3 linked regions of the Diceros bicornis minor genome follow. The protein of the gene in region 2 interacts with the protein of the main gene of each other region in a biochemical or structural test. Links are inferred from orthologs where the notes say so. Each region holds a gene or a part of one and is shown on either strand. Other genes may lie near its edges.

Region 1 (7,153 bases), on a different chromosome or scaffold from region 2:
CCAGCGAGGACACGCCTTCACGCTGCACGCCCTCCAGGTGCGCCCGGCACAGCCACGGCTCCAGCTGTGGGGAGGGCGCCGTCAGGCCAGGCAGGGGCTGTGTGCAGCCTCGCCCACCCTGGGCCTGCACCTCACCTTCACCAGGACCAGGCTCTTCTCCTTGGGCCTCCTGGCTGACAGGTCCTGCCCAAAAGCCAGGTAGATGGTGTAGTGTGGGGAGCGCTGGCGCCGGCGAGCCCGGAACTCCACCAGCTCTGCAGGACAGGGGCTTTGTGAGTAGGGACGGGGACAGGGGCTTGGGGGACGGGGGGAGGCAGCCCAGAGCGAACGCATCACTGACCTCGAAAGAAGGTGCCGAAGTCAAAGATGGGAGTGTCGCAGTTCCTGGGCAGCAGGCGGGCCGGGGTGGAGGGACTGGCAGAGCCCAGGGGGCCACCCACCTCCCAGAAGACCTTGCACTTGCCCAGACGCCGGGCCCATAGTCCAGGCCCCCGGAGCTCCAGCTGCAGGCCAGGGGCCACGTGTTGCAGCAGCTTCTCTGTGTAGTGAAGCTGCTTCTGGTCGGGGAGCTCGGCAGGGCTGGGGAAGGCCACTTGCTGGGGCTCTGTGGCCTCCACGGATAGGCTGGGGGGCCCGTACAGGAACACACAGCTCGGGCGTCCCACCACCTCCTGCAGCACCGTTCGGCCCTTGTACATGATGGTGACATCCAGGGCCCCCAGGCTGGGTTCTGTGTGCAGAAGGAGCTGTGAGCAGTGGGGCCTGGCCGGACTCGCTCACCTGCCACTGGGGGGCAGGCACTGGGGGATGGTGCAGGGCGGGGCTCTGCTTCTTGTAGGGGCTACCAGGGCTCTGGGGCTGGGGGCTAAGCCTGCATCGGGGAGGAAGGGCTGAGTTAGCACCTGGTCCCCCAGCCCCTCCCTCCACATGTCCCCAGGCTCCTCTCACCTGTCATCTGGGCTTGGGGCTGGGGCCTGGGGCTGGGGGCCGCCTCCACTGCCCATGGCAGGTGTGGCTGCCCGGCAGGGAGCTCTGGACCTGAAGAGGATGACAGTGGGAACAGCTGTACTGGCCCAGCTGTGATCAGCACCATCCCTGCTGGACACCTCCCCCTCTTCCCAGGGACTTTGCTGTCCTGCCTGCCCTTCCCCTTGGCAGAGGACAGCCCCTCACCAGGAGCTTCTGGGGGGATCGGATCCATCCCCCATGTAGCTTCCAGCAGATGGTCTTCCAGGCTGCTCTGCTGCAGAGCCTGGAGCAAGAGGTCCTCAGCATCGCCAGCTGGGCTGGAAAGAGGGCTTAGGGCACAGGGCTCAGGACTCAGCCTGGCCAGCCCATGCCCCGGCCTCTCACCAGCATCTCCTGCCAGGCCCGGCCTGAGGAGCCCGCCCTGCAGGGGAAGGCAGTGGCAGCATAAGCAGCTTCCAGCACCAGGGAGAGGTGGCAGCCCCAGCAGGAGACAAGGAGGGCAGAGCAGCCTTACCGTGGTTGGTGGGGCATCTTCACGGGCCTCATCCTCCCCCTGGTTAACGCCTGGACCTTCTGAGGGAGAATGGGGACCTGAGACTCCGGAGTGGGACGCCTGGGTGTGAACCCCTGGGTGGCACTTTACAGCTGGACTGCGCCTCCCCTTCACTGGCCCCATCAGCTTCCTCCCTGTGATCCCCACCCCCTTCCCCAACAACCTGGCACCAGCCTCTCCCAGGCTAAATTCTAAAACTGCAGATCCGACCCAGCGGTTGTCCCCTGACAAAACCAAGTTCCAACACCCTTCGCGCCCTGAACGTCCTGCTTCCCTGCCGGCAGCCCTCCCCCGGCGTTCGGCAGCCCTCCCCCGGCGTTCCTCACCTGCCCATCCCACCTCGGGGCTGAGCGCGTACACCTTATGCGGGTCGGTGGGGTCCCCAGAGTTGTCTTGCAGCATCACAAACCGCCGCGTGCTGCGCAGTGCGCAGCGGAAGTTGGTTTTCCAGCCGGCGCGGAGGGCGTTCTCGGAGGTCGGCGGGTCACCTCCGCTCGGCGGCCACCTGCCACGGGCCACGGCCCAGGCCTGGGGAGGGGAGGGAGGGGGTGGGCCTGGGGGCGCAGGTCGGGGGCCTGGGCCAGCCCTTCTGCCCGGGGCGGGGCTGGGGTCCCACCTTAAAGATGCGAGAATCGGCTTCGCCCAGGTCCTTCCGCGAGAAGTGCTTCCAGGGGACGCGGAAGTGCGTGCGGGCCGCATCCAGCCACCGCAGCCCCTCATAGCGGCCGCTGCTGACCTCGCCCAGAAGCCAGTCTCCGAACAGCACGCGCGGGGACCCCCTGCGGGCGGAGCAGCCAGCGGGGTCGGTGGCGCGGGCGGCAAGGTGCGAGGGGACAGGCACCTGGGGAGCGTGGGCCAGGCTCTCACCTGTCGGGAGGCACGGCCATCGCTCCTGCAAGGACTGGACGTGGAGAGGCTGGGAGTGCCCTCAGCTGCGAGGGATTGTGGTCACGGGTGGCAATTAGGTGTCGTCACACTAGCGTGGCCCAGTTGTTACAGGTGATGGGGTCACAGGTGTGGGTTGAGGGCTTATAGGCCACAACGTTGCCCAGGTATGGATTTTGGGGCAAAGGTGGCGATGGGTGTGACAACAGATGCGGCGGGCGCGCACACGTGCGGTCACAGGTGTTGAGCCAGCGTCCAGGCCTGCTGGCTGGTCGCAGGCTGGACCCTGCGAAGACACGACGGAAATGGCTAGGTGGAGGTCGGCCCAGGGCGCCGGGAAACCGAAACCGCCGTCGCAGGAAAACGAAACCTAAGCCGCGAGGCGGGACGTCCGGGTGGCGGGCGCCTCCGGGTCCCCGAGCCACCCAGCCCCCTCCAGTCCCTCGTTCCGGACCCGGCTCCCCGACCTTCCCCTGGCGGCGCGTCCCTCGCTCGGCACCCCCCCGGCCACGCCCTGTGGCTGCCCCTGGAGCTCAGCGTGGGGAGAGTCCCGAGTACCTGGGTGCCGGAGCCGCCGGGCCGGGAAGTTTCGTCTCCCCGGGGGAGCGAGAACAAGCGCTTTTATGGGGCGAGCCCGGGGGACGGGCTAGGGCGGGCCGGGGGCGGGCCGGGAGTGGGGTGGGCCCTCCCAGCTCCAGGTGCTGCGAAAAAACTCATGTGGTCTGTTCCCCGAGCCCCTGTGCAGTCTCTCGGTGGGGGCGACAGGCCTCGTCTGGGGACAGCCCGAGGGGAGGGCGGGTCGCGGAGGGGCGACAGGAGTGGCCAGTCCCGCCGGCCTCCCAGGCTCAACCTCTGCGGGGACCAGTCACCCCTCTTCCTCCAGAAGCACCCCATGCACCAGGGGGACTGCGGGCTCCGGCCAGTAACGAGGGTGGGGGAGGCAGGGGGCCAAGCTGGGGACCCCGTGAACACAAAAACAAAACCTGGCCCCAAACAAAACCAAGCACTTCTTTTCATGGAAAAGCGGGTAACCGGGGCATGGAACGAGCGGCAGATGTGGCGTGTGGTGTCTTAACCATGAGAATTGCTCAGACAAGATGTAAATGCCCTCGAGAGTAAAACATTTGGAAAGGAATTCGTGATGCCTTTCATTAGGAGAAACACCGATGACTCGTGAGGGACAGTGTGGTGGCAGCGCAGAAGTCCACCCCTGAGGAAGCAGGCGGAGGGGGGCCCTGTCCCCCACTTGGTGGCCCTGGTTCCCCCACAGCCTCCGCCGTGCACCAACGGGCCGCCACCCCGCAGGCACAGTCCGGGCGCCTGGGTCGGGTGCCTCGCTCGGAGCACTTGGTGTTTACTGCCCCAGCGTACCACACTGGCACACAGGCTGTGACCCCCTGGAAGGTCCCAGGGACCATGCCCTCCCAAATGAGTCTCCTTGAGGGTGCCGCCTCAGCCTCCTCCAGGCAAGACCTCCGTGTTGAGTCGGGAGGGCGAGTACGCAGTGCGAGGTGCCCCCTCCTCTGGCCGTGGTTAGACCAGGAGAGGAACTTTCTGGCCGCCAGCTGGCACTGAGCGTGGGAAGCTGCGCCGGGCGGGCGCAGCTGGTGGTTTACGGGAAGCGGCACCCGCGCTGGGGACAGGGGGACGACACGGCCCGCCCTTCCCCGCCCCCACGACCCCCAACACCCCCCCCTACCCCCCACCCGCAGCGCGTCTTTGAGGACTCCGTGCGCGCGGGAGCCAATGGGCCGCGCCGTGACCCCCCAATCGGCGGCCACTCTGGGGCAGACCCCAGGCACCCCTCGCCCGAGATCCGAAAGTGTCATTTTATTTTTCTCAGTGCAGTGGGGGACAGCGGCCGAGTGACTCGGGGTCCAGACCCGCGGGCGGTCGGGGGTCGCGCTAGACGTAGGTGGAGTCGCCGGGCGCCTGGTCGGGGGCGCCTGCACCGGGGCCCGCGCCAGCGCCTTCATCCTCGCCGCCGCCCTCGCCGTCCGAGTCGCCCGCGCCGTCCGCCTCCGAGGTGGGCGCGTTGAGGACCACCACATCGGCCTCGGCGCCAATGTCTTCGCCGAACCACACGGCCTTGTAGCCGCCCTCGGGCCGCCGCTCCTTGGTCAGAATGGACCTCACCTCCGCGGGGCCGGCCCCGTCCTGGGCCGCCGCGGGGGACTCGGGGACGCCGGCGGAGGGCACGGGGCTGGGGGGCGCGGGCTCCGGGGGCTCGGGCGGGGCCTCGTCCGTGGTGGGGCCGGGTGTGGGGCTGGGGGCCGGCGCCCAGTTGGCCTCACGGTCTTGAATGAGGAAGGCCTTGTCAAAGCCACTGGGCTGGGGCTCCTGGGGAGGGACGGGAGGGAGCGTCATCCAGGACCCTGCCTGGGCTGCAACCCCCTGGTGCCCTCCCCAGAGACAGGGGTCTGCGCTGGTCCGTGCCCTTTTCTCTGCCTTTCCCTGCTCTTTCTCCATCTTTCCCACTATGGTGTCTACACCCCATCTCTCCTCACCTCTGCTCTCCATCTCCCCACTGATGGCTGATTCCTGGTCTCCTGCTGCCTCTCCACCTCCCCTTCTATCTCCCCCTTCTTCACCTCCCCTGCTCCCTGCATCTCCCCCCTTCCTGCATCTCCTGGCGCCTTCCATCTGCTCCTCCCTCTATCTACCCCTCTCTCCATCTACCCCTTCCCTCCATCTACCCTCTTCCTCCGTCCTCCACTCCATCTTTCCGTTGCTCTCTGTTCTCACTCTCACGTCCCTGTCTCTTGGTCTTTCTCCACCTCTGTCTGTCTATCCGTCTCCTCTTCTGTCTCTCGTCTGTCCCTCTCCTGTGCTGTCCAGCCGCCCGGGGCCTCACCAGAGCTTTGCTAGCACAGGACTTGCATAGGTGGCCGTAGTGCTTGTAGCCGAGGATGGTGAGGGCGATCAGAGCTAGCAGCAGCAGCGCGCCCAGCACACCGCCCACGGCTGCCATCTCCGCTGTCGAGAAGCGCCGGTCCCCAGCGTGGCTGCCATCCGGCCCGACACCCCCCGTGGAGGTGCTGCCTCCTCCAATCCCGGGCGTGCCTGCTGGTGACACCACTGCCCACTTGCTGTCGGCACTACAAGCGCTCACCAGCTCAGCCTGTACCAGCTCAGAACTCCCCGAGTAGAAGCCAGCCTGGCCGCCTCCCGGAGTGAGGGTTCTGGAGAGTGGGCAGTACTGACGCCCCCCCAAGGAGCTGTATTCCCAGGGTCCCCCAGGGAGGCCAGACTGCTGAAGGGAAGGAGGGGGGTGGGGGTCAGTGCCCCCCAGCCCCAGGTGGGAGGAAGGGGTCCAACACCACAGGAAGGGAGATGAGGGCAGCACTGATGCCGGTGGAGTGGACGGCCCTGGGAAGTGTGGGGTTCGCTGAAGCCAACGTGTGGCCTCTGCCCTGCCCTCCACTCACCTTTCCCGGTTTACCTCCTCAGGGCCCCCAGGACCTGTCTGTCTCTGCCCAGAAAGAGCAGACCCCGTCTTGGGATCTCATGGTCATTCTGGGCCAACCTGGGGCGGACCCTGCCCTCCGGTGACTCCCAGGACCACCCAAGTCATGAGTCAGGGAGCATGAGGGTGACTCTAGGGCAAATGGGGGTGCTACCTGAGGGCTGGGGGGTCCTGCTGAGCCCAGGGGCTGTTGGCTGCGAGATTCCTGGCTTCTGAGTCTGTGCTGAGCCCCCGCTGGGTGAGGCTGATGGAGGGGAGGTGCTGGTTCCCGCACTGGGGGGCCCCCCAGGCGTGGTCGAGGCAGGCGGCCTCAGAGTTGTGCCTGGGGGGGAGTGTGGGCCAGTGTCCCCCCCAGCGCTGGTCGTGGAGGGTCCCTGAGAGGGCCCGGAGGGCCTGGGGGTTTCTGAAGTGGTGCTGCTTGAGGGCCCAGCTGTTCCTCCAGCCTCTGGGGATGTGGAAGGACCTGGGGGGTCTGGGGCCAGGCACAGGGCTCAGCTTGCCTCTGCCCCCAGCATGCCTGTGGCAAGAAGCCCCCCCCGAGCCATCACCGGGGACCCCTGGAGGCTCACCTGTGGGGGTGGGGGTGGGCTCCTGTTCTGACACCTGTATCTCCACCAGTGTGGTCGCTGTGCCTCCAGTCGCTGTGTTCGTGGCCTCGACCTGGGGCAGGAAGGGGGCTTGTCTCACCTAGGCCCCGCCTTAACTCCCACCCCTTAGAGATGCCACAGGCCCCTCACCTCTGCGTAGAAGACCCCCGCCTGCGTCAGTGGGTTGGCCACCAGCACGGCCTCCCCTTCCATTCGGAAGTCGGAGTTGTTGGTGATTCGGTACGTGATGGCCGAGTTGAGGTCCTGGACACGGCCCCAGTGAGTCCTGGACCCAGGCTGCCCCCGTATCCCCCCAACCCACCCACAGAAGGGAGGCCAGGCAGACCCAGGGGCCAGGCGGTGCCTACTGGGAACTCGGGGTCCTGGGCCTGGATCCTCAGAGCCTGGGAGGGGGTGGCTGCGTCCTTGACGAACTCGCCGCTTCCTGAGCCCAGCACCACGGTGCCGCGGTACAGGCTCTCGGGGAAGTGGGGCAGGCTCCCAGCAGCGTCTAGGGCCTCCACTGTGACCTGGGTCACCGAGTAGCGGGCCTGGTCTGCCTGCTCCCCCTGGGGGTGGGGAGGCGGCAGTGGTCAGTGGGCCCTCGAAGGGCAACCCTGCAACCTGAAGCTCAGGAGGGGCCCATGGAGACCCGGCCAAGGCACCTACCTTGACCCACATAAGAAAGGTCTT
Region 2 (7,558 bases):
TCTCCTCCCTCCTCCCTCGCCCTCCCCTTGTCGTTCTGGGGGTTTTCTGTTTGGGTTTGGTTTGGTTTTTATTTCTCCTTTTGTGTTCCAAACATTGAGGTTCTCTCTACTGGTCCTCTTAACTGTGGTGTTGAGGCTTATATTTGTGTAATTTTTGGTGGGTGAAAGGAACTTTGCTAAGTAAATCTCTTCTGTGTTTGAACTGGTCTGTATTGTAACCATGTTTAAAGTAATTGTTCCAGAGACAAATGCTTCTAGACACCTTTTCTTTACAAACAAAAGAATTCGGAGGGAGGGGATGGTGACCAAGATGAGAGGGGCTGTCCTTTTTCCCCAGGAGGGGAGATCTGAAGATGACCCCTGCCCCAATCAGCCCAAAGCCACCAGAAGAAGTGAAGCCCAAGCCGACGGACCGAATAGCTGATGTGTTACCATTTTCAAAGTCAGAGCAAAACCAGGTTTTGTTCCACCTTGTGGATTCTTTTGCCTTTTTTTCACCCCTGTGATGATTAGCATCATCGCTATTTTTAAGGACTCACAAGGTTGAGGTTCCTGCAAGGGGAGCCAGGGCGGGGTGTGAGCAGAGCCGACCTCGCCTCCGTGGGAGGAGGATGGAGTGGGCCTGAGCCATGTGGCTCAAAGGGTGGGCATCTCCCTGGAGGCCTCCACTGTGGCCACAGGTCACATATATCTTGACAGGGCAGATTGGCCACTCTCCACCTGACACAGCTCTTCCTGGACAGGACAGGCGGTGGGCATTACGGTCTAGGACACCTCCATCACATCCCACCCTGTCTGCAGTGCACAACGCTCATGTGACCTCTTGATCCCACCATCAGGGCAGTAAGATAACGGTGGAGGAGGTGCGCTCTCTTTGCTGTCATCTAATCCCCAGCAAAATTTGGATGTGAGAAAGCCCTTTCCCTTTCCATGCCAAAACCAGATCCTTCTCAGAAAAGCTGTTACCCCCACCAGACATTGTTTTGGGCTCACGCAACAGGGACAAATGTGTGCTCCCTTAGTGCCCAGTGGCACCTCCTCTGAAAGGCGAGGACAGTGCTGACTGTAGTGACCATTTGTACATGGGGTTCAGTAGCAGAAAGACCCAGGCAGGGTGGCTGTCCCCTCCAGAGTCGCAGTGACAACAGGCCGCCCTGTGCAGAGGGAGCCGGCTCCAGCCCGGAAGCCTGGCTGACTGTGGGAGAGGTGTGCACGGGGCGCTGGGAGCCGCCCAGGACAGACTTGGCTGGAGATGTCTCGAAAAGCCCTCTATTGATCGCATTCACCTTCAGTTTTTGTGTTTTGGGACAATTACTTTAGAAAATAAGTAGGTCGTTTTAAAAACAAAAAATATTGATTGCTTTTTTGTAGTGTTCAAAAAAAGGTTCTTTGTGTATAGCCAAATGACTGAAAGCACTGATATATTTAAAAACAAAGGCAATTTATTAAGGAAATTTGTACCATTTCAGTAAACCTGTCTGAATGTACCTGTATACGTTTCAAAACACCCCCCACTGAATCCCTGTAACCTATTTATTATATAAAGAGTTTGCCTTATAAATTTACATAAAAATGTCCGTTTGTGTCTTTTGTTGTAAAATCAAGTGATTTTTTTCATAAGGTTCTTTTACTATTTGAAAAGATGGGCAGCACGCAGTTTTATTTTATTTTTGTAAGTTTTTTAATACGTGTGAAAGCAAAGAATACTCAGCATGCCTTTCTAAGTGATGCGTTTGCACCTTTTGTTGGGAAGTACTGTATCCTGTGCTGTTAGCATTCTTGATAAATCTCTCTGTGAAAGTGACTCAAGGTCTGGGCTTTCATTATCAGACAGCTCATAGGACAGCATGGTGGTGTGTTTCCTGATTCAGTCTGGCTGTCCCTAAACACAAATAGCCAGCCGCTTTCAGGACTGCTGTGCGAGGGAAGGGCAGCCTACTCCATGCACCACCTCCCCTTGGGTGCTCCAAGGCCACACTTTCCGGGCACACTGCTCCTGCGTGTGATGGAAAGTTCTGGGGCAGCAGGCCGGGAAGGGCCAGGCACGAGTCTGCCCGCCATGCCCTAGGTTGAGAGGGCAGGCAGGCTGCAGGCCTTCTGCACAGCAGCACAACCTCCCTGTTCCTGAGGGACATGGCAGGGGTGCCTACTCGGTCTGGATATGTCTGGATATGCCGAGGTGCTTTTGGAAACCACCACCACCACCACCCGCCCCGCCCCCCAGCTCCAGCTCCAGCTCCTCTTGTGCCTATCGCCCAAGACGCTCCTATGGCCTCTGCTGACCTGGCTCCCTGCCCAAAGGGGGCGCTATTGTCATTGTGGGGTTTGCAGGCCTTATCACACCCTGCCCACGCTCCCTGGCTTCCCGCAAGGCTCTGGGCTCTCAGGAGCTGCCTGTCCCGCCACAGCCATCCTCACCAGGCTGTTGCTGGGCTGGAGGGGGTGACAACTGCTCAGAGTCCAGCTTCACATGCAAATGTGGACACACCTACTAGAAGGTGCACTTGAAAGTCCTGGCCTTGAACATTAAAACAAAGGGTTGAAATTCGACCTGTGTGTATTGAGCATCTCTTGTGTGTCAGGCCTGTCCTGGGAGCTGCAGTCCAGCAGTGAGCAAGTAGGACCAAGTCTCTTGTTTTCTTGGAGCTTAGTATGTACATGCATGATAACTTCCCATACCCGGGTTGGTAGTCTCAGTAAGGGCTGTCCCTGCGATAAGCCACTGAGGCTTAGGGCATGGCTGGCCTCCTCTTTGGGAGTGGCCAGCAGTGGCTGTGACTTCTGGGAAGAGGCTCCAATGGAGGCCTGTCTTAGGCAGACCCAGTTTCCAGAAACTCCCCTAAGTCCCAGGGAGAACAGCTTAGGGGGGAACCCTTTGGGGTCAGAATTGAGAGGGCAAGGGGGGGCCATCAGGGAAGGTGACCTGTTGCCCTGCAAGCATGCATCCAGCTGGAGAATCTACTTCTGGGGTCTTCCCCTGTGTAGTGGGGGAGGCAGGCAAGTGCACAGGCTCAAGAAGGATGCATGAGAGATGCCAGAGGGGCCCAGGGAATTTTCACCCTGGCTTACACCTGGGGAGCTGTTTGAGCTCAACCTTGTCACATGAGGGCCAGGAAACTGCACGTGCAAACTCCTGGATGTGGGAGCACTGGCACATCTGTGGAACCCTAATGAGTTCTAGATGGCTTAAGGCTGCTGACGTGTGCAGAGAGCTAGACATGACATGGGTGGGCAGTGGCCAAATTCTGACGGCATGGAGTCTGCACTAAAGAGCTGGGACCCCACCGGAGGCCTTTGGGAACCACAGGAAGGTCTTGAGCAGGAAAGTCATGTAGCTTGATTTGTCCCTGAGGAAGACCACCCAGGCAGACAAGGCAGGGAAGCATCAGGAAGCCAGCAGTTTCATCCAGGTAAGTGGTAGTAGTGAGAGCAGCGGGCCTGTGGGGAAGAGATGGACTCCAGAGATGTTCAGGGAGATGACAGGCAAATAGTGGCTGCTGATGTGGGGCCGGGGAATGGAGGAGTGCCAGAAAATCTGAAGAAATCAATGGCTGCGGAGCACTGTGGGAATGGGCAAGAGAGAAATGGAGGAAGATGTGGAACAGGCTGGGAACTGAGTTTGGTGCCTGGTGACTGCTTCAGAAAAGAGGGAGGAAGAGGCCGGCCTCTGCTGTCCTCACAGGGTCCCGTGCAAACTGAGCCAGAAGTATGACAACAAGAGGGAGGAGGGACAGCAGGAGCTGAAGGCCCGTTTTTAAGAGAGATGAATACGTTTTATGTGCTAGTGGGAAGGAGCCAGCAAAGAAGGAAAAGTGACAGATACTGCAAAGAGCTAACAATTGCTGGAGCAGGTTCCTGAAGGAGAGGAAAAGATGGGATCCAGGGCTCAGGAGGTGGGCAGAAATCCTCTGAGCGGGGGTGGCCTGCTGTACAAGCTTCCAGACCATTCTCCCTGCACCCAGCCTGACAGCCAGCTGACGGGAGTCGGCCGGGGGCCTTTGTGGGACCCACATCTGACCCCGTCCTGCCTGGCTCTCTGACGACTCTCCACTGCCTCCCAAAGAAAGCCAAAACTTCTTAAGGGGACCTCCCAGCGACTCTCACAAGGCCCGGCTCTAGCCCTTTCGGGAACGTCCCGTGCCTTGGCCGTGCCCTTTGTCCTCAGGGCTGGGAACGGCTTTCCTCCATGCCTCAGAGCCCCACTCGGACGGGCCCTCCTCCTGGAAGCCCGCCGCGCCCGCCTCGCCGGGCCCAGCGGCGCTGCCTTCTCGGGGAGGGACAGCGCGCGGCGCCCCCGTGTGGCCGAGGCTCGCGGCGGCCGCGGCCGCGGCGGACAAGATGGCGGCGGGCCCGGGCACCGCCCCTTCCGCCTCGCCGGGCGTCGCACGAGGCCGGCTTAAAGGGGAAGTGAGTCAGTGTCCGCGGACCGGGGCCGAGGCCCGCGCCCGCCGCCGCCCCGAGAGGCCCCAAGAGGCCCTGGCCCGGCGGCGGCGGCCATGGCCGGGGGGCCGGGCCCAGGGGACCCCGCGGTCCCCGGCGGCCAGCACTTCTTGTACGAGGTGCCGCCCTGGGTCATGTGCCGCTTCTACAAAGTGATGGACGCCCTGGAGCCCGCCGACTGGTGCCAGTTCGGTGGGTGGCGGCGGGCCGGCGAGGGCGGGACGGGGGGCGCTCGGGCCCCGGGCCCCCAGGCCTGACGCCCCCCACCCCGCAGCCGCCCTGATCGTGCGCGACCAGACCGAGCTGCGGCTGTGTGAGCGCTCCGAGCAGCGCACGGCCAGCGTCCTGTGGCCCTGGATCAACCGCAACGCCCGCGTGGCCGACCTCGTGCGCATCCTCACGCACCTGCAGTTGCTCCGGGCTCGGGACATCATCACGGCCTGTGAGCACGCAGCACCGGGACCCCCTGGCTGAGGGCCGCCCTGGGCCTCCCATGGGGCTCCTCCCCCCGCCTGGGCCTAACCGTCCTTTCCTTCCTTGGCGTCCCAGGGCACCCTCCCGCCCCCCACCTGCCCCCCAGCACCACCGCCCTGAAGCCCAGCAGCATCGCTGCACCCTCTGAGGCTGAGGCTCCCAGCCCCCGGAAGTTGCAGTCGTCAGCCTCCACCCTCCCCTCCCCAGGTAAGAGGGCCCGGGTGTTGGGCTTGATGGACCTGAGGAAATGGCCACCTTGACCATGGCCACGGCTGAACACTCTGCCACCGGTCTCTGCCTGCCACTCACTGGTGTCTTTATGAAGCTTTTCCAGGCTCCCAGACCCATTCTGGGTCTGAACTTGGCCCTGTCCCAAGCCCTGCTGCCCTCCGGCCACCACCACCATCTCCAGCCCCTTCCTCTACCAAGGTAGGTGGGTCCTGCCCCTGGGAAAGGTTCCAGAGAAGGAGCAAGAAACCTAGCCTTTGGTACATCTAGGATCCCCAACCAGCCCAGCTGAGGCAGCTGGCGAGGGGGTGGGGTTGCTTGTGGCAGGGACCCAGGGGAGGAGACAGGTCCTCACCTGATCTGGAGTCTCTTCCCACAGCCGAGCCCAGACAGCCAGGTGTTCCTCCTGCAGGGGGCCCACCCCTCTCCGTTCTGCTGGCCCCTCCATGAGATTTCCCAGGGCACTCACAACTTCTCAGAAGAGCTGAAGATCGGGGAGGGTGGCTTTGGGTGTGTGTACCGGGCTGTGATGAGGAACACGGTGTACGCTGTGAAGAGGCTGAAGGAGGTGGGTGGAGCATCTCAACAAAGGCCCTGGAGGGCCAGCAACAGACCCACACTTTTCTGGTCCTCCCCCACTGCTTCCCCATGCAGCTCCTTCAGCCCTTTGATTCCCCGGGTCAGGGTCCCCAGTCCCTTGGTTGTTCTGGGCCCAGGACAGATGGCCGTGGGTGTGGCCATCAATCCTTGGCTGTGAGAGTCTCATGCCGCTCCCCTACGGTTTTCCCTGGGGGCTGCAGGAGGCAGACCTGGAGTGGACCACCGTGAAGCAGAGCTTCCTGACCGAAGTAGAGCAGCTGTCACGGTGAGCCTGGGGCATCCTTCCTGGCTGGGGGCAGAGGGAGAGCCACACCAGGGCCCCACTGGCATCCAGGACCACACACCACAGGACCTGGCTCCCTCAGGCCCCCAAAGCCTGCCACACCCAGCCTAGCTGAGGAACCACCAGGGACTACCCACCCCCACAATGGCCAAATGGAAGGTGTGGTGGAGGCTGGGCGCCAGAGGGCTCAGGCCCCACTTTTTCAAGCAGGTTTCGTCACCCAAACATCGTTGACTTTGCTGGCTACTGTGCTCAGAGTGGCTTCTACTGCCTTGTCTATGGCTTCCTGCCCAACGGCTCCCTGGAAGACCGCCTCCACTTCCAGGTAGCCTTACCTGGCGTGGCACGCTTCCCTGGACCCACAGCACTCTTGGCACCTAGGCGAAGCAGGGCACGGGGACTGGGCTTTCAGCCTGTGTGAGTAGGTCCCACCAACAGGCAGGGCCTGGGCTCAGGGTTTGGCCCAAGTGGGTCACTGTTTTCCCTGGAACTCTTTCCCATGGCCTCTCCCTTGCTGTTCCTGCGTGCCCAAGAGGCAGGGCCATGGTGCCTCTAAAAAGGGGGTTATTGACTCAGAGTAGCCTGACTCCAACAACTTCTCCCCTTTGCAAGCAGAGTAGCTGGAGGCTCTTGTCATCATCGCCTTGGAGAAAAGGGGCCAGTGGGCAGCAGCAACTGGGCCCTGTCTATTGAAGCGTGCACAAGACACGGGGCAAGAGCGTCCTTGCCCTCGTGTTTAAGCGCTCAGGATAAGCACACTGTGTTGGGGGAGGTGGGGAGAAAGCCTCCCATGACATCCTGATCGCCCCGGGACCAATGAATGGACTCCAGGAATTCAGGACTGCCAAATTCTGTGATGGCTCCTGAAAGTACATTCCCTCGGCATGCTTTACAAAGCATCAGAATGGCTCAGTCTCGACCCTCTTATGAAGTAGCTCATGGAGATTTTATTCCTCATTTTCCAGAAGGGGAAACTGAGGCCAAGAGAGTGAAGTGGCTTGTCCAGACCCCGTGGTGACAGGTAGAGGGAGGGTTGGGGGTCAAGGAACGGTGGCCCCCCAGCCTCCCCTGTGCCCCTTGCTCCCTCTGCCACTCCAGACCCAGGCCTGCCCCCCTCTCTCCTGGCCTCAGCGACTGGACATCCTTCTGGGCACGGCTCGGGCAATTCAGTTTTTACATCAGGACAGCCCCAGCCTCATCCATGGAGACGTCAAGAGGTGAGGAGGGGCCATAGCCAGGCCCCTGGGGCCCCTGAGAACTGCAGGAGCAGAGTCTACGGCAAGGGGATGATGTTCCCAAACCTTCTGCCGGCAGGGAGCAGAGGCGCCTGTTTGCCAAGGCCTGGTGTCTGGTCCCAAGGAGCCCCGTCCTGAGTGACCCCCATGAGAATAGGCCTACCCTCTCCTGCTCGAGGCTGAGGTGGGGGACATCAGAGTTGGGGGCCCCAGGTCACTGAGTACCTGGCATGGGACAGGTGTAGAAGCAGAGGCCAAAGATGGGCCCCATCAATGAGCAGGGGCCGAACTGTGTGAG
Region 3 (7,204 bases), on a different chromosome or scaffold from region 2:
ATCTCAGAATTTAAAATCTTACTTTAAACATACATTCATATATTACCACCAACACATATTTGGAAGAACATACACCAAAATATTAACCGTGGTTATCTCTTGATAGTGATTTTTATGGTGGTTTTGTTTTCATTTGCTTTTTTGCATTTTCAATAATGAAAATAAATTATTTGTGTAGAAAAAACATAAAAAGTGTCACCTCTTTCAAAGTGTTCAAAATTTTACTTTAGTGCACTTAGGATTAATAGAAGTGGAACAGGATCTATTGCTTACAAATAAACAAATAAAAATCTCCATGACTGTTTTCTCATACCATTAATTCTCATAGTAGACAAAACCACTGATATTTTCAAAGACAACTCAGAGAAGAATATAAGGTAAGGTAATAATTGAGAAATATACTTAAACCAGTGTCTGCTTGTAGAACCCAGCACCTTCCCACTCATATGCATGTTCTCAAAGTACTGTGCCCAAAATAGGAATTCAAAAAATTCTATTCAAGTAAATTAACACATTTTTAAGATTGTGCTTCATTATCACTCTGATCAGAGGAAGAGAGTGTACAGGGGTGCAGGGGAGATGGACTTTGAGGTTGCACGGGACTGCATGCTAATACATCTCTTTCACAAACTACCTGTGACCACGGTCAATGATTCAGTATCTCCGGACCTTGGTTTCTTCATCTGAAAAAGAGAGATGGTAACAGCTAAGAGGTGCTGTAAGATTTAAAATCAACAAACTGGAAGGGCCTAATCCTGTCCACAATAGGTGATCAAAATAAAATGTAGCGATGATTATTCTATGGCAGAAGTTATTCTTAAGTCACATTTTAAAAACAGAAACGTGCAGAGTTGTATTTAAGCTCAATTTTCAGAATAGTGGTGAGGGGCTACTGAGAAAGTGGAAATAAGAGGTCTGAGACTATAGCTAAGCGTTTCAGATATTGGGAGTCTTACTTTATAGAGCATAATATGTTCAATACGTCTACAACCTCCCTAAAATACCTTATTCACTCTGATGCTTTCTTAAGCAAAATATGCTGGAAAACCATTAATCTTTATTTTTGGACAACTCAACATCATCACTATGAAGAAAAGCTGGTGATATCTTCCAGATCTATTAAATTATATAGGGCTGCCCCTCTCAAATGGGGATACGAGCTGGTATGCCATAAATTAAACAAAACACATCACTCTTAGACATTGATTTAACTCAATGGCAAGTAATTTAAAATGCTTTGGATATATTAAAGAATATTATTCATTCATCAAATATTTACTGGGTTTCTGCTTTGTGCCAAATATTGATCCCTGGAGATAAAGCGTTAGGAAAATAAGAAAAAAAATAACTGAACTCATAGAGCTTATATTCTAATAGAGAAAGAGAGGCAATAAACAAATAAATTCCATAGTATGTTAGATGGTGCCACCTGGAATGGAAAAAAAATAAACAGAAAAGGGGGTTTCAGTTTTAAATAGGGTAGTCAGAGTAGGACTCAATAAGAAGGTGTCATTTGATTAAAAGTTTGAGGGATGAGAAAGCCAGCCACTGGGATATCTGTGGGAAAAGTTTCTGGGCAAAAGAAACAGTAAATGCAAGGGTCTGAAGTGGGCCCATTGAGAAACAGCAAAGAGACAGTAAGACTGGAGAGGAGGGAGCAGAAAAGTAGCAGATAAGATGAGAGGTAATGGGGCCAGGTATACTAAGTCTTTATAACCTTTGTATTGACTTTGTTTATGAGTGAGATGTTGAAGAGTGAGATGAGATGAGATGAGGTGAGATGAGATGAGATGAGAAGACAGTGGAGGTTTCGAGAAGAGGAGACACATGCTCTATACTTATGTCTTAAAAAGACACTGGGGCTGCTGCAGAGAATAGTGGATATTGGAGGAAGGGCAGAGAAGCAGGAAGAGCGACCAACTAGCAGAGCACACCAATAATCCAGGCAGGAGGTGCTGGCGGCTTGGACCAGAGAAGGCGCCAAGTCCTAGGATGCTGGATATTTTCTGAGGTAGAGCAAATAGAATCCTATGTGCTGATGTGAAGAGTGAGGAGATGGCACTAAAGTTTTTGGTCTGAACAAGTTTCCTGACATTTACTGAGATGGAGAAGACTATGGAAGGAGTAAGTTTGGCCTGGAAGATCAGGAGCTCGGTTTGGACAGGTAGAACCAAACTTCAAAAGAATGCTTAGCATGCAAACAGGAGAATAAAAGAAATAGGAACTTTCTGACAGATCTCTTCAAGGATTATCCCCAGAAAGAGAAAAGGCAGATTTCAATACTCTCTGCTCTCAGGGCTCCTTGGGCACATACGTTTTTGAGGCACTAACAGAACTATTTGTTCCCATTCTAAATGGCTAAAATGCTTTCTCCCTTTCTCAAGGTCTGCTTTTCATCCCTTTGTTTCTTCTCTTGCTTCCAGGCTGTCAGATAGACTTTCCCCTCTGATAATGCATTTATCTAATCCTTACACCCCCTCTCCACTTTCTAATTTCCTCGAAGCTTGGAAGCCGGAGAACAAGCTAATTAGAGTCTCGTGGAGGATCAGAATGCTTTCCACGCCGCATCTCTGCCGGCTGCTGGCCTCACTTCCTGGTTCTCAGGAAAAGAGATTTCATTTCGTAAACGGGTTCTCGGAACACACCGCCTGGGAGTTGAGAAACTTGAGGCGAGGTCCGATGGGGCTGGCTGGACCGACGGCTGGGGGACGCCTCCCCATGCCCCAGCTTCCTCCGCAGGTCCCACTCACTTTCTGATCCCCAGGCACCCACCCAAGTCTTTATCCCGGGGCAAGCTCTGCCCACGCCACCTACTTCCTCTCGAACTTCTCTCCCTTTGAAGATAAGAAGGCGATTTTCCTTCCGGGACGGTCCCTCAATAACCCTGGGGCAGAGGGACGGAGGCCGGGGCGCGGACCTCGGACCACCCGCGGTGAAGGCGGCGCGCACGGCCGGAATCCCTCACCTGTCCAGGGGCGAGGCACGGGGGGCGGGCGGGGCGCCGCCGGGAGAAGCCAGCCGCTGAGGCACCAGCGCACGGGGAAGGGCCGGACAGGGGCGTGGCCAGCCCTCAGGCCCCGCCCCCGCCCCGCCTTCCTCTTCCTCTTTGCGCCTCCAGGCGGCTCCACAATGTGAAAAATACCAGGTCTCGCGTGAGGCGTTTCTTTAAGTGGGAGCCTGCCCCTTTAAATACGCCTCGGTCGGAGGCCAACTAGTTTAAGGCTTCCGGGCATGCGCACAGCGTTGTGCAGAGGAATGTCTTCACCTGGACGTGAGGTAGACCGAGTTGAGCTTCTTGCGCGCTGTGGGGTTTGATGACAAGGTTGGCATTGGGACCCCGACCCTATGCCCCCAGAAGGAGGGCGACGTGGGCTAGTATCGCGCCTTGGGACAGGCGGGGCGTGGGGCCGGGAGAAGAAGCAAGTGGCGCTGCTGGCGGTCGGTGTCTGGGGGTGCTTGTGGACGCGCCAGAAGGCAGCGCCGCGGGAGACGGGTTCCGCGGACTGATGGCAGAAATAGGGAGTAGTAGGAGTGAGTTCGGCGGAGCATTGGTGAAGGAAGAGCATGAGGGCAAAGGCGCCCCCTTCCTCCATTTCTAACATCTTCCCAGAATTTGTCCTCAACCAACAATTGGCTGTCCTTGGGTCAGCCAAACTACGCTCCCGCTCTCCGTCCTATCCCCTCATCAACGAATCTGTTGCTTAGGAACACGGCACTTTCATGCTTAACTCCACGTGGGTCCCTTGGCGGCCCTCCAGCTCGGTCCCACTCGCACTAAGATGTTTGGTTGTAATTCCCTCGTCGTTGCTTCCTCCCCAAGTTGTTCTACGTATTCCACCAGCTTAGAATGTCTTTATATCGCCTCCTTTTTGGGGAAAGAGTAGCTCATTATTCTTTCCAAGGCCAATCTTACAACTATGCTTTTGATCACATTGCTTTGCAGCTCCTCTGACTCTTCATGACGTTCATCCTGCTCAGTGCCATCAAGTCATCTTACTAAAACATCTTTTTGGATTGTGTCATCTTCCTACTGGAACACCTCCAGTGGCCATCCATTGACCACTCAACGAATTCTGTCTTTGACTGGGCATTCAGTGTCTTACATAGTTTGGCACTAATCCAGCTGTATTTTCCAGAACTGTACTAGAAAACTTTTTCTCCTACTGCTGTGCATCTGGGCTGTTCAGTTTTCTCTAACACATTGCATATTTGGTTTGTACGTTACTTATGATATGACTCTACCTCATTTCTATTTCTTGAACCGTTTTCTGGACTTAGATGGCCTCTTCTTGCATTACGCTTTTCCTGATTATCATAGGCAAAAGTGATCCCTTCTTCCTCTTCACCATTACAGCTCTTATGTTGTACTAGTTGTGTCATTTATTCAACAATCACTATTGATTGTGAGCCTGCTATGTGCTTGACACTGTTCTAAATGTGAGATAATCAGTGAATAAGGCAGACAAGATTCTTGCTGTTGTGGAGCTAACGTTGTAGCTGGGAGAGATATACAATAAATAATGAGGAAAATTATTAGATAGAAATACTATGCAGAAAATTAAATAGGGTTTTGTGAAAGAGAGTGACTTGCTGGTTCCTTTAGATTATTGGTCAGGGAAGACCTCTCTGAGGATGTGATTGGGGAAGGACCGATTTAATCATCAGGAACAGTTAACACAAAGGAACTGAAGAAGACCAGTGTAGCTGGAGTGTAGTGGGTAATGGGAACGAGTACAAGATAAATTTGGGGAACAAAGTCCAGAATCTTAGAAGTCTTTGGAAGCCAAGGTAAGTAATTTGGATTTTATTATAAACGTAATTAGAGAGTTTTAAACACAGTTATGATATGATTTAGTTTACCTTTTAAATCATCATTCTGGCTGCTAAGTGGAGAATGGACTATAGTGGACTAGTGCTAGAAGCAGAGGTTAGAGGCCTTCACAATATTTCAGAAATTCTGGAAGTACTAAAGTAGAGTGATGAAAGCACAGCAGGAGTAATCTGAGAGCCAGACTGATGCTTCAAGTTGATGTAGTTTTTAGTGATGAGAAAATCAAACTATGACCAAGGTGAAGTGGAAGCGGGTTGAGGTTGAGATTGAGGAACTGAGGGAGCACAGTGTTAAATGGATGATCCATATGGATGGTCATGGAAGTCATGCTGAATAGGAAAGCAGTGAACCAGGTGTTAAAATCATCAGTGAATGAAGAAGAGTCATCCAGGGACCAGAGAAGGAATGACAGCAGATGGTAGGGCCTGATGGCATGAACTTCAAAGGAACTGAGATTTTGGGAGGTAGAGAAGGAAGAAATGGTTTGGAAGAAGCAGTGGCAGATATAGAAAATATTTGCAACCTCCAGGTCCTAAGTTTGGTGAGTGTGAAAGGAAAAATAGCCTTTGCTTGAGAGGACTGCAGAAGAGGCAGCCTGGGGAAATAGCCAGATTTCAATTAGGGCAAGAAACTGAGGAGACTGTAAGGGAAATTAAGGAATGAAGGAAAACAATATATCCTTATATATTCTTTAGGACAGTAGGATATGGAAAATTTGCTGTGATTTCTACATGGTATAATAGAAAGGATAGAGGTGGGTTTGCTAAATTGGTTCAGATTGGTAGAATACACTGTAGAAATGGGATGAAGGTCCAGATGATAATAACCTGCAGAGTGTGGTTAACACAAAGAACTGAGTAGTATGGGGCCCCTGGTCATTTTATCTTTCCTGTAGCTTCGTCTGGTGTGGTAGCCATGGGTTATGCAAAGAATGAGTGAAAGCTTCCTCAGAGGATTATTCTCTTGTCTACTGCTTCGCCAAGATCTGTAAGGGTTTCTTCTCTCTGATGCCAGTGATATGATTGGAATTTTCCTTTGGGTCAACCTCAAAAGATTGTATCTGTGAAAGTTTGTAACTGGGCTTTCAAGGAGGCTGAAGGTCCAGGATTAACTTAAGCCCACCTTGAAGCATATTTGTATTACCAGTTGGTATTTACAACTTCGTTTATATATCAGTTTGGACTATTTCTTCCTGTCTTCTCCTCATCCCTTCTCCCATCCCTAACCCCTAATATATAAAAATCTAGCCACAAATTCTCTGGAATTAGCTGCGAATTTTAAGTTTCAGAAGTGGTGTTTAGACAAATCCTTGTAAACAGTCCTGTGTTCTAGTCTCTTCTTTGTGGGCCTACAAATGGTATTTTTAATGTAAACTTGAAACATTTTAATCCTGCATAATAGATGGGAGCCTTGAGCGGGTAGAGTCAAGTTGCAAATCACCAGTTATACCAGAAAAAAATTTGCCTGTTAATTCATCTTGGTACAGGATAGTCAAAATACACATGATATATTAAATTATTAATGTCTTTTAAGGGGTCTCAGAATTGATGGGGAGGAAGAGAATTAGATAAATCCTGCAAATTTGTTTCTTTTTTGTTATCCACAACTTTTCTGTCTGGTAACTGACCGCCTCTCTGTTTCTTTTGTAGGCGTTGTTATTTAAGAATGGAAGAGGATATAGATTTTAGAATCAGGTTTAGTTCTTTGTGTTTCATTACTGATCATGTTGGCTTTCGTGGCACTATAAAAAGCTCACCAAGTGACTTCGTTGTCATTGAGATTGATGAACAAGGACAGTTAGTTAATAAGGCCACTGATGAACCTGTTTACAAGATTAGTAAAGTGCCACCTGAGTCAAATAATTTTGCGAAAAAATCAAAACTAGATCTTCAAAATTTATCCTTTGAAGAGGGAAGCAGTCAAGAAGTTGATACTTTAGCTGGGTGCTCCGATGATGACCAGAATCATCAGTCTAGTTCGGAAAAGGAAGATACTATCAAGGATGGAGCTTCCAAAGATGAAGAAGAAAAAGTTGATGTAATAAGCTCCTTGTTAGATGAAAAAACTAATGAATTACTGAATCAGTTTGCCTGTGATACAAAAGAGAAGTGGAATTCTAAAACTGAGCTAATTGGACCGTCTCCTGAATTCTCATTAGGCAGAATCCTTGACAAAAACCAGAGGGCTATTTTGCATAGTGCTATTAGGCAGAAGTTTCCTTTCTTAATAACTGTAGGAAAAAACAGTGAAATTGTTGTAAAACCAAATCTTGAATATGAAGAACTCTGTCACTTGGTATCCGAAGAAGAAGCATTTGGCTTTTTTAAATATTTGGATGCAAAGAAAGAAAATTCCAAATTTACCTTTAAACCT

The links. The genes of interacting proteins can lie anywhere in the genome.
Region 1: the proteins of IRAK1 (region 2) and IRF7 form a complex in vitro, tested with the Homo sapiens proteins (2 studies listed by BioGRID, with this or other methods). The link is inferred for Diceros bicornis minor from reciprocal best matches to the Homo sapiens genes IRAK1 and IRF7.
Region 3: of the proteins of IRAK1 (region 2) and IRAK4, one has a biochemical effect on the other in vitro, tested with the Homo sapiens proteins (2 studies listed by BioGRID). The link is inferred for Diceros bicornis minor from reciprocal best matches to the Homo sapiens genes IRAK1 and IRAK4.

Annotation. Positions count from the first base shown.
Region 1 is NC_080770.1:1,366,428-1,373,580, reverse strand, and holds the start of IRF7 (interferon regulatory factor 7), read right to left. Parts: upstream 3,052-7,153; 5' UTR 2,966-3,051; intron 2,943-2,965; exon of another isoform or gene 2,694-2,942; 5' UTR 2,410-2,693; coding exon 2,390-2,409; intron 2,302-2,389; coding exon 2,139-2,301; intron 2,051-2,138; coding exon 1,849-2,050; intron 1,543-1,848; coding exon 1,484-1,542; intron 1,391-1,483; coding exon 1,174-1,390; intron 1,039-1,173; coding exon 949-1,038; intron 731-948; coding exon 341-730; intron 255-340; coding exon 136-254; intron 65-135; coding exon 1-64. Other genes in the region: CDHR5 (cadherin-related family member 5), read right to left, coding at 4,313-4,747, 5,262-5,470, 6,028-6,345, 6,443-6,533, 6,611-6,724, 6,829-7,029, 7,130-7,153.
Region 2 is NC_080781.1:138,094,184-138,101,741, reverse strand, and holds the start of IRAK1 (interleukin-1 receptor-associated kinase 1), read left to right. Parts: upstream 1-4,479; 5' UTR 4,480-4,496; coding exon 4,497-4,632; intron 4,633-4,714; coding exon 4,715-4,882; intron 4,883-4,989; coding exon 4,990-5,121; intron 5,122-5,239; coding exon 5,240-5,343; intron 5,344-5,521; coding exon 5,522-5,710; intron 5,711-5,942; coding exon 5,943-6,007; intron 6,008-6,235; coding exon 6,236-6,350; intron 6,351-7,123; coding exon 7,124-7,242; intron 7,243-7,558.
Region 3 is NC_080756.1:25,385,914-25,393,117, forward strand, and holds the start of IRAK4 (interleukin-1 receptor-associated kinase 4), read right to left. Parts: upstream 3,052-7,204; 5' UTR 2,966-3,051; intron 2,933-2,965; exon of another isoform or gene 2,815-2,932; intron 684-2,814; 5' UTR 635-683; intron 1-634. Other genes in the region: pseudouridylate synthase PUS7L, read left to right, coding at 3,315-3,322, 6,481-7,204.